3 linked regions of the Sus scrofa genome follow. The protein of the gene in region 2 purifies or fractionates together with the protein of the main gene of each other region. This does not show direct contact. Links are inferred from orthologs where the notes say so. Each region holds a gene or a part of one and is shown on either strand. Other genes may lie near its edges. The genes, in order: RIPK1, IKBKB and CASP8.

The links.
Region 1: the proteins of IKBKB (region 2) and RIPK1 fractionate together in Homo sapiens (co-fractionation; 3 studies listed by BioGRID, with this or other methods). This does not show direct contact. The link is inferred for Sus scrofa from reciprocal best matches to the Homo sapiens genes IKBKB and RIPK1.
Region 3: the proteins of IKBKB (region 2) and CASP8 purify together in Homo sapiens (affinity purification with western blotting; 3 studies listed by BioGRID and IntAct, with this or other methods). This does not show direct contact. The link is inferred for Sus scrofa from reciprocal best matches to the Homo sapiens genes IKBKB and CASP8.

Annotation. Positions count from the first base shown.
Region 1 is NC_010449.5:1,840,151-1,843,897, reverse strand, and holds the start of RIPK1 (receptor-interacting serine/threonine-protein kinase 1), read right to left. Parts: upstream 2,756-3,747; 5' UTR 1,352-2,755; intron 839-1,351; 5' UTR 719-838; intron 1-718. UniProt on the Homo sapiens protein: Serine-threonine kinase which is a key regulator of TNF-mediated apoptosis, necroptosis and inflammatory pathways.
Region 2 is NC_010459.5:11,289,423-11,293,169, forward strand, and holds the start of IKBKB (inhibitor of nuclear factor kappa-B kinase subunit beta), read left to right. Parts: upstream 1-911; coding exon 912-1,016; intron 1,017-3,747.
Region 3 is NC_010457.5:104,936,279-104,939,925, reverse strand, and holds part of CASP8 (caspase-8), read right to left. Parts: intron 3,521-3,647; coding exon 3,382-3,520; intron 3,002-3,381; coding exon 2,957-3,001; intron 1,969-2,956; coding exon 1,883-1,968; intron 1-1,882. UniProt on the Homo sapiens protein: Thiol protease that plays a key role in programmed cell death by acting as a molecular switch for apoptosis, necroptosis and pyroptosis, and is required to prevent tissue damage during embryonic development and adulthood.

The sequences.
Region 1 (3,747 bases), on a different chromosome or scaffold from region 2:
TGGTTTCTAGGTGGTTTCTGCAGCACTGGTGACGGGAACTCCTGCATAAGTGTATTTAATTCAGGGACTCAGGAAAGCAATCTTTTCCACTGAAGTTAACTGAAACTTCACTAATGACCTTCAAAGGCACGACAGGTCTAGGTATCAAAATATTTATAGCTATATTCCATTTTGTTTCTCACTATACCTCAGTAAAGCTGGGGGGACATGTGAATTGTTAATAATAAATAATAACACCAAAACGCCAACAAAACTGATCTATGACCCTAACAGTCGGGAGAGTGGCTCCCGGGGGGCGGGGGCGGGGGGGACCAGGAGGCTCTAACTGACACGAGGTTCGAGGGATTGCGGGCAGCAGTGTCTTACTTGGTCAGGTTCCCTCTGCGATGCGCAAGAGAGCAGTTAGGCCCTGTGCACTTTTCTATGTAAACATTTTAAAAAGCGACTCCAAATACTCATAGTCACCTTTAAGTGGGAAGGAGTATTTTCTCCATTTTACAATGATGACCGTAGGTAATGAGTCTGACGGAAAATGCTGCCCATCGCTGCCCTCCTTTCCCTGCTGACAGTACTCTGATTTGACTCAAGTGTCCAAGGGTTCTTTGCTTATAACCCCTTGAGGCTTTGCCCCAGATAAACAAGAGCTCCGAGCAAGGAACATCCCAATGATAAGTAAGACAGAATGACAGGAAGCGTTCCAGCCAGCCTCCCCAGGTACCTTAGGACACTGCGGCCTAACGGTAAAGGCAGTAACTCCTGGAGTTGAATGATGCCTCTAACACGGCAGAGTCTTTCCTCTCTCCACTCAAACTTCCGCTAACACATACATGCTTCTTCTCTAGGGAGCAAACCATAACCTTTGTTAAAATCACGTGCAAGAACCTCATCTCACAAACTTGCTCACCCCTGAGAAACACACACATCAAAGTGTGTGGTTCCAGATCAGCTTTCTGCAGGTTATAACACGATCATTTTTGCCGGAGAATAACATCCAACCAGAGCGTGGGAAGCTTTGTGTTTTTTCAAATTCCCCGATCACACTGGCCGTATCAACAGTGTCGCGGATTAATAAGCCCCAATCGGAAATTGGCGATTTCCGAACTCGATGTTTAGGGACTTTTTCTTCACTCTCCCGGATGTCCCCAATCCTCCAAGTACAACGTGCCGCAGAGGAAAATGGAGACAAGTTAAAAGCGTTACTGCTGCCTCGTCAGTGATAACTAATGACGCTGCCGCTGTACCCCATCATTTTATTTTGAACGAACTCAGTCTTCACCTTTACTGTCTGGAAGAGCTGCCCTTCCCCGCACGTATAACTGACCACGACTGTCTCCCTTTCTTTTGCACCTACCTGATGGTTACAAAATGCAGATCAAGCACGAAGTCACTCTACAGGGCCAAGTTCACTCCTGCCTTGATTTCTCCGAGTGTAAAACTTGGGGTAAGAACAGTGGTCTAAAGACCGAAGAACTTCGGCAAAGTTGGTTGAGTGCAAAGGCTTCAGGCTTTGTCCAAGATACACAAGAGCTCTGAGCAAGGAGCTGCCAAACGATCAGCAACAGGCCGAGACAACCAACCACCACGCCTCCGGCGGGGTTTTGTCCACGGCTCAGGGAAGAAGAACTTAGCTCGCCCTCTTCAAAAACTCCGACGAGGTCGTGGAGCGCTTGGTAAGAGCAAACGCCACTGGCCACGGACGAGGCCTCCTGGGGTTACGACATCCTGCCCCTTCGTCGCTGTGGACCCTTCTCTCCCACTTGCCGGCTCCCGGCCGAGGCTACGCGGAAACGCCCCCGTCCCGCGAGCCGCGGCGGCCCCAGGCCCCAGGCGAAGGTCCTTCCGAAGGGCGGTAAGGAGGCCGGGCTCAATGACACCGCCGTGAAACCCCACCTCCCCCACCAGCTCGACAGCGGGAACGGCGTCGGTTGGTTCCAACATCACAGGGGAGGCAGGGCTCCGCCCTCGGACCGCCAGACCGAAACCACCCGCCAGCGGGGAGCCGCCGCGCTGCGGCCAGGTAACCGGCCCGCGCCCGACTTCCGGGAACGCCTGGGCCACGCCCACCCCGCGCGGACCGCCGGCCGACTTCCGGGAAGGCCTGGGCCACGCCCACCGCCAGACCCCGGGAGCGCCGCGGGCCGCGCCCAGCACCCGTCGCCGGACCCGCGTCCCTGGTCCGACCCGCGGAGAACCCCGCCGCCCGGAACGAGGTCGCGGGCCACGCCCACAGCCTGACTTCCGGGAACGCCGACGGCCACGCTCACCACCTGACCGGCCCGCCGCCCCGTCCGTCCGGAACGCGGTCGCCCGCCCGCCGCCCGCGCGCCGGAAGCGGGAGCCCCGCCCTGGGCGGAAGCCGTTCGGGGAACCTGACCGCGGTCCGGGTTCCCAGCGCAGACCCACCGAAGGATTCGCTTTCGCTTCCGCGGGCAGCTTCCCGAGGCCGAGGCGGGGGCCGGGGCCGGGTGGAGGACGAGGCGGCGGGGGCAGTCCAGGATTGCCCCGACGCCCGGCAGCGTCGCCGGCGCGGAGCCTGACGAGGGTCGCCGCGGGCTGAGCCGTCGGCTGCGACACCGGCGGGGCGGCCCCGCGCTCCCCGCCCCCGGCTGCGCGAGCCCGCCGTCCGCCGCCTGCTGCCCCGTGGGTCGGCGCGCTCCGGCCCTCGCGGAGTGGGCCCGCCGGGACCGGCGCTCCAGAAAGCCGATCCGGTGTCCCCGTCGCCTGCGCGCCGACTGAGTGAGCTCGGCCGGAGGAGGGCGTGGACTGCTCGCTCCGCCTTCTGCCCCTGCCCCTGCCCCGGAGGAGGGCGAGCCGAGCGCCCGCCCCGCCGCCGGCCGGGCCTCCTGGACAGCTTTCGGAACCTGGAGTGCGCCCAGCCAGATGTCGCGGCTTTGCTGCGTTTCAGAGCGAGTCCGGAGGCCCGGAGAGGAAGTGCGCGGAGTCTTAGAAACCACTCTTAGAAACCTCCCAGGTGGGGCATGCAGCCCCAGGGGAGTTCTCAGCTCCGCGGGTCAGCGGCGCTGGAACTATAGGCAATTATCATGCTCTCATCTCCCTCACCTGTACAGCGAGGATAATAAAATCTACTCTGGATTTTAGAGTAGAAGAGCAAGGTATTTATTTTGCAGTCTTTTGCAATGATAATTGGGAAGTCTCAAGCAAAATGGGAAATACTTGCTCTAGTGTTACGTTAAAAAGCTTATACACAGCGTGATAACATACTGTAAAACGGTACATACATCAAGAGAATGAGATGCCACAAACTAAGAAAAAGCACATATATTAAAACAGTATTACCCAAAATGAAGTAAAAACCTAAGAAAAGGAACATCGCAGTAAGAAAATGGGCAAAAGATCTGAACAGTCACTTTACCATATAGATGGCATGTGAAAAGATGGTCAATATTAGAAGTCACTAGGAAATTATGAATTTCTTCTTATTCATTTATTTATTTTGGCTGCACTCAAGCAGCATGTGGAAGTTCCTGGGCCTGGGATAGACCCCATGTCATTAAAGCAACCTGAGCCACTGCAGTCACAATGCTGGGCTCTTAACCTGCTGTGCCACGAGAGAACTCCAGAAACTGTGATTTTAAACAGCAATGAGATACCAGTACATCCTATTGACTTAAAATAGACTGCCAACTATTTCTCAAAAAAAAGGTTTATTCATGATCCACAAAGGATTGCATTTCAGGGTCTGCAACTGTAGGAAGCTGTGTGCAAAGCCCCAGCAAAAATGGAGAG
Region 2 (3,747 bases):
AAGTCTAGGAAGCAGGTCAGGCTGACCCCAGAAGGGCTGGGTGAGGAAATCCCCATCTACCCGGTCCCAGGAACCGCTCAGGTCCAAGCTGTACTTCTAAAGGAAACTCCCGCCTTTTACGATGGGTTTTAGGGCTGGTCCCCAGCCGGGCGGGCGGAGCGGGGGCGGGGATGGGCGTGGCCTGGGCCGCGCGCCACGTGCTCCGTGACGTCAGAGCAGGAAGTGTTTGAGGAAGTGGCGCTCAGCGGGTGGGTTGGAGGTTCCCGCACTTCAATGTCTTTGGGGTGGCGCCCCCACCCGCGCCCCCGCCCGCGTCCCGCCGCCAGGTGAGTCCCTCGGGCGGGCGGCCGGTGTCACCTGCCGGGCGAGTTAGCACCCCATCTCTCCGAGGCCCCCGGAGATGTTCTCGTGGGGCCTGAGTCGGCGAGTTCCTGTTGGGGGTGGGAGCTGAAGGCCCCCCGAGCCCGGCCCTGGCGGGGTGGCGCCGGGTGGTGGCAGCGAGGTGGGAGCCCGGGCCGGGGCCGTGATTCGTCCACGCCGCGGTGACGCAAGACCGCGGGGAGCTGAAGGGGAGGCGTCCCAGCCACCAGGGCAGGGCGCCCGGCCGGGGTCCGGCTTGGGATCCCCTTTCAGGTCTTGTAGTTTGAGGGCCTCTCCTCCCTTCTGCTTCCATGCAGCTTGAGGGGGGGCGGGAGGTTGGGGGTGGGGGGGAAGACAGGAGTTTCCTACTAAAACCAAAACCAAACGGCCTGGTTTATTTACAAGATAAAAACCAGTTCCGATTTTTCTCTTTCACATGGAAGGACCATGGTATCTCTTACTTTGTCCATGCCCTTGAGTTCCATTTTTTTCTTAACCATCACTTTTTGTCCCCCGCCCCGAATTGCTTACAGAGTTAGCAGGACATCAGTATGAGCTGGTCACCTTCCCTGACAACCCAAACATGTGGGGCCTGGGAAATGAAAGAACGGCTTGGGACAGGGGGATTTGGGAACGTCATCCGATGGCACAATCAGGTAGGCCCTGTGCTGCTGGGAAGAGCCGGGGTGGCAGGTTTGGGGGGTTGTGGGGGCAGACTTCTGCTCCCTGCCTCTGCTCCTTGGGAATGGGGCTTGCCTTGGCCATGGACTTCATGAGAGAAGGAGCCTGGGCAGGGGGCGTCAAGGGCTCCTGACCTGACTCTAGGTTCAGGATCTCCAAGCTTTATTGACTATGCCACCTAAATAAATAGTTAAAAAAATAAAGCAAAGTAAATTTTCAAAGTTCCTCTTGTGGCTCAGTGGTAACGAACCAGCCTAGTATCTATGAGGACTCAGGTTTGATCCCTGGCCTTGCCCAGGGGGTTAAGGATTCCACATTGCTGTGAGCTGTAGTGCAGGTTGCAGATGTGCTCGGATCCTGAGTTGCTGTGGCTGTGTCCAGTAGCTGCAGCTCCAATTGAACCCCTAGCACGGAACTTCCATATGCTGCAGGTGCAGCCCTAAAAAAAAGTAAGCTTTCAGCTTCAATTCTATGTATTTAAAATTACGTAGCTATGCTAACATTAAACTATCACCTACTAATATACACAATATATATATCACATTATGAAAGCTACCAAAATATAGAAAGATCTAAAGGGTGAAAATAATAAAACATTTCTAAATGTTTATTATTTATGTTTTAAAAATTAATTTGAGGAGTTCCTGCTGTGGTGCAACAGTTTTGGCGGTGTTTTGGGAGCGCTAGGATGCAGGTTCAATGCCAGGCCTGGGACAGTGGGTTAAGGCTTTGGCATTGCTGCAGCTGCAGCTTAGTTTGCAACTACAGCTCAGATCTGATCACTGGTCGGGGAACTCCGTGTGCCACAGAGCGGCCAAAAAAGAAAAAAAATTAATTTGAAAAATATTTTAAATATCTACCAATTATGGTGTCTTCCCAGTGTTGTTTGCCATACTTCAACATGAATTATATGGATACACACAAAAGTGAGAATTATTGCTAAGGATGATGGATGAACATCTTCATTTCAAATAGTTCTTACAATTTTAAATCATTTGGACCGATTTTCTTTAGTCTGGGAGATCCTCACTGGGTTTTGGTTTGTTTGGTTTGTTTGTTTTGGTTGCACCTGCGGCATATAGAAGTTCCTGGGCCAAGGACTGAATCTGAGCCGAGGCCGTGGCAACACTGGCTCCTTTAACCCACTGCCCCAGCTGGTGTCTCTGCAGCGACTTAACCCACTGCACCACAGTGGGAACTCCAGAGCCTCACTGATTTTATTCCTTATGTGTCTGCCGTGAGTTTCTCACACCACAGTGTTAATTATTCCATATTCCCATTCACTTTGGTGTTATATGCACTGACATTCTCCACAGGGATCTCCAAGCTGCTCATCCATCTTATGAGTTATGTTATTAAAATTGCATAACATCAGAGTTCCCGTCATGGCTCAGTGGTTAACGAATCCAACTAGGAACCATGAGGTTGCGGGTTCGATCCCTGGCCTTGCTCAGTGGGTTAAGGATCTGGCATTGCCGTGAGCTGTGATTGCAGACTCGGCTCGGATCCCCCGTTGCTGTGGCTCTGGCGTAGGCTGGCGGCTACAGCTCTGATTTGACCCCTAGCCTGGAAACCTCCATATGCCACAGGAGCAGCCCAAGAAATGGCAAAAAGACCAAAAAAAAAAAAAAATTGCATAATATCATTTATAAATCTACCTCAGTGGGGCACACAGAACCTGCCCCATGTCCCCGCATGCCTCTGTCCACCCCTTGCCCATGGAATGCCCTTTTTCATTGGGGTACCTCGAGTGTCAGAGGAGACAGGTGATCCGAGGAGGGTGCTGTACACTTAGTATCAGGAAGACTTAATTTCCTCTGAATTTTTTTGGATTCCAGTATTGTATATTGGCTCGAAGGTAGCCATCACCCACCAAATAGCTAAAATTAGCTTCTTGACTCCAAGTTCAGAACCCCAAAGCCCCTGAGGGAGGGCGCCTTCTTTTTAAACAAGGTCGGCAAGCACATCTCTGGACTGAAGAGATGGCAGGTTTCCTACCACAGGGAGGGTCATTCAGGCCACTGGGCAGCCACGGTGGGGCGGCGGCGGGGGGGGGGGGCATTTCAGACCACCCTCTCTATCAGTTGGAAGACATTTGAGGCCCTGCACTGTATCCTGTCAGCTCTGAGCAGATGGAACAGTCCCTGGAGGAATGTGGGGGCCAGAGCTGGAGGGCAGAGGTCAGGTGGGCAGGCAGTAATTCTCACACTCGCCTGGGAAACTCTGACCCCAGCAAACCCTGTGGTTGGCTGGGCAACCAGAGGCCTAGCTCACCACAGGAGAGCCAGATCCTTCCACTGCCCCACACAGACCTGGGCTGGGCTGCTTGCACACAGGCTGGGGCTTTTAGAGTCTTGACTACAGCAAAGGTCTCACTACAGCTGGACTAGATACATCTTGGCTTCCTTCAAAAAAATTTCTATCAAGGGAGTTCTGGTAGTGGCTCAGTGGGTTACAAACATGACTAGTATCCATGAGGATGCAGGTTTAATCCCTGGCCTCACTCAGTGGGTTAAGGATCTGCATTGCTGTGAGCTGTGGTGTAGGTCGCAGACGTGGCTCACATCCCAAGTTGCTGTGGCTGTGACATAGGCTGGCAGCTGCAGCTCTGGCTCAGCCCCTAGCTTGGGAACTTCTATGTGCCGCAGGTACAGACCTAAAAAGCAAAAAAAAAAAAAAAAAAAAAAAAAAAAAAAAAAAAACCAA
Region 3 (3,647 bases), on a different chromosome or scaffold from region 2:
TCCTCACGGATACAATGTTGGGTTCTTAACCCACTGAGCCACAACAGGAACTCCCGTGTTGGTATTATTCATTCTCCTTTCTTCTCAAAGCAGAGGACATCTATGCCAGGGACTAGGATATATTTCTAATTGGGCAGGAGTTGCTGGACATATGGGTGTCCTCATGCTGTCTCTGAGCTGCCACTTTGTGACCTTGTGATCCCCCTGGCTCTCTGCTCAACTCATCCAGGTTTCTGGGCTAACAGCTGAGGGCCTGCCCGTCACACAACATGGCCCCAGGATTTTTAAAGCTGACGGCTTAATCCACTTCTGAGGATCACAGGGACAGGAGGATAGAGATGTGCCAGTCGCAGGTCTTGGCTGTGCTACAGGTTATAGTATCTAGACTCCAGCACTTGACAGTATCAGTCAGAGGAGAGGCGGTGACCTCCTAACTTTTCCAGGGCTGTTTCAGTGCTAAACTAAGGTAGTTAACATTTATTGGGAAATCCGTGCAGTTTCTGGAGGCAGAGAAAAGGGCCCCAGGCTAGGGGGCCAAATTCCTGGCTCTACTATTTAATAACCTTAAGACTTTGGACAAGTTACATGATCTCTCTTGCACTCGGTAGCATTAGCTGATGGATGGGCAAGACGCTTGCAGAGTGCTTCACTGTTCACCAAGTGCCGCGTGACTTTGGTTAATTCTTGATGTTCAGACTGAGAGAGGTCTGGTAATTTGCTCAGGAGCCCGCTAATAAATGGTCTCTCTCGGAGTTCCCGTCGTGGCGCAGTGGTTAACGAATCCGACCAGGAACCATGAGGTTGCGGGTTCGGTCCCTGCCCTTGCTCAGTGGGTTAACGATCCGGCGTTGCTGTGAGCTGTGGTGTAGGTCGCAGACGCGGCTCGGATCCCGCGTTGCTGTGGCTCTGGCGTAGGCCGGTGGTCCGATTCAACCCCTAGCCTGGGAACCTCCATATGCCGTGGAATCGGCCCAAGAAATAGCAACAACAACAACAACAACAACAACAAAAAAGACAAAAAAATAAATAAATAAATAAATAAATGGTCTCTCTCAAGCTTAATTAGAAGTCTCCCACTACAGGGAGTTCCCATCGTGGCTCAGTGGTCAACGAATCCAACTAGGAACCATGAGATTGCAGGTTCGATCCCTGGCCTTGCTCAGTGGGTTAAGGATCCAGCGTTGCCGTGAGCTGTGGTGTAGGTCGCAGACTCGGCTCGGATCCCGTGTTGCTGTGGCTTCAGCGTAGGTTGGCTACAGCTCCGATTGGGTCCCTAGCCTGGAACTTTCATATGCCAAGGGAGTGGCCCTAGAAAAGGCAAAAAGGCAAAAAAAAAAAAAAAGAAAGAAAGAAAAAAAAAAGTCTCCCACTAGACTTCTAGCATATAGGGTTTCCTCTGCTTCCCGCCACAGAGAGAAGTGAATGGACTGGTGAGTCAGGATGCGGTCAATTGTTGAAGGCTGTAGAAACAGAAGTGATTATATCTGGAAAGGCAATTCTTGGGCCAGCTCACCCGGATGAGAACATAGAGACACTTGGATCATGAGCATTTTGCTGCTTACACCTAATCACGAAGGAGAATCAGTTTTTAAATGCCAAGCTAAAAAAAAAAAAAAAAAAAAAAAAAAAAAAAAAAAAGACAACTTTTTTCCAATCCTGCTCATCTTTCCCCCCAAAGCTCTCTGCCCTTGAGGCTGATGCAGCTGCCGAAAGACGAGGTTAGAGGCTCCCTACCCCTCTGTCCTCCAACTATTCCAATAGAAATAGAAACTTAATACACAGGAAACCAAAGAGCTGTTCAGTTTTATCTGGAAGCTAAAAATGCTCAGGAATCCGATAAATAGTATCTGCAGCGCAAAGGGAAAAGGCGACGGGAAGATACCTCTGAATCACTGTCCTGTTCTCCCAGACAGTCCGACATGGCCAGCTCTCCCAGGGACCCCTCCTGGATCACCAGTTGAGACATATCTGGAAAGAGACACGGCAGGGAAGTTCCTTTGGTAAGGAGGGACATGGCACTCGGGACAACGTAAGGTCCCTTTTGATAGGGATGGAGTAGACACGGGTAGTTATAGAAGTCCCAATAAAGAATCATAGATAGAGAGGGAAATCTAGGGGACACTGGGAGATCACCGAGAGTTAATAAATTGCTCAAAAAAGCCATCAGAGCAAGGCAGGCTTGCTCGGCTCGTGGAAGGAAGTTCAGAATTGCCTCAGGTCATTGGGTGGGGGATGGAAGGAGACCTTCGTTCAGATTCAGACCAAGACAGGAATTTGAGGACCGCCCTTCTGCTGATTTGAATACACACCTTACAGGATACCAAGGAGGAGCTGCTACTCCCCAAAAGGAAGAGGTGGGCTTTTCCAACCCCCACTCCCCTTGGATGATAAAACTGTAGCCTACCTAATCCTCCGGGAAGACCCTCTTGCCCGCCTGCTTGCATCTCTCACAAGCGTTCCGTCCTAATCAATCTATTTCTTGCCTATCCCTTTGTCTCTCGCTGAATTCCTTCTGCGAGGAGGCATAAAGACCCTGAACCTCCACAAGTCCAGACATCAGGTGAGTGCTCATTTAAAAACGTGGGTTCAAGTCTCCATCTGGGTTTAGGCCAGGTTCAAGTCCTGGCATATGGGTTCAAGTCCCAGTCTGTGGTCTGGCTAGGTTCCAGCCGTTAGTGCTGTCCGTTTCATTTTGAAAGTGAGAATTCACAAACCGCCTTAAATATAATATCCATGCAGTCCACAGAGTAAGTGAAAATCTTATCACTGACCAACTGCCCTCATTTCAAACTTGGGGCTGCAGGGCCTCTGTCTTTTGACAGCTTCGACATCTACCAACCTGCAGAGAAAGTGTCAACGTAGCCACTGCTATTAGCAGAGCAGGTCTCTTGGGTCTATGAAGCTCTCAGGGGGTAAATTAAACTAAAGAAACCTGGAAAACATCTCCAAGCATTACCATTTGAAAATTCATCCGAAGCACTTTCAAGGCTCATTCTTCGATCTGAAGTTTAAAAGCAAACAAACAAACAAACATTTGATTTGAAACAGCTGTGACATAGAGGGCTCAATCAATTTATGACTACCATTTGCTGATTCACAGCTCTTAGGTTTTTTTTTTTTTTTTCTTCTTTTAAGGGCTGCACCGCCAGTGTACGGAAGTGCCCACGCTCGGAACTGTAGAGCTGCAGCTGCCGGCCTACGTCACAGCCACAACTACGCCAGATCCGAGCTGTATCTGTGATCTATGCTGCAGCTTGCAGGAATGCCAGATCCTTAACACACTGAGTGAGGCCAGGGATTGAACCCGCATCCTCATGGATACTAGTCAGGTTCCTAACCTACTGAGCCACAACAGGAACTCCACCGTCAGGTTATTTTTACCTTTGTTTAATTCTTCATAATCACAGATTTTCTTCAGCAGGGCCTTGTTGATTTGTTCACAGATTCTTTTCAGAGTCTCCAAATTTCTTTCCCCTAGGATGGCCCTCTTCTCCATCTCTATAAACATATCAAGCAAGGTCTAGAGGGAGGAGATATAAAGTTGGAAAACTGGATGGAACCATATTGGCTTTTATTTATTTATTTATTTATTTATTGTCTTTTTTTTGCGGCATATGAAGTCCCCAGGCTAGGGGTCGAATTGGATC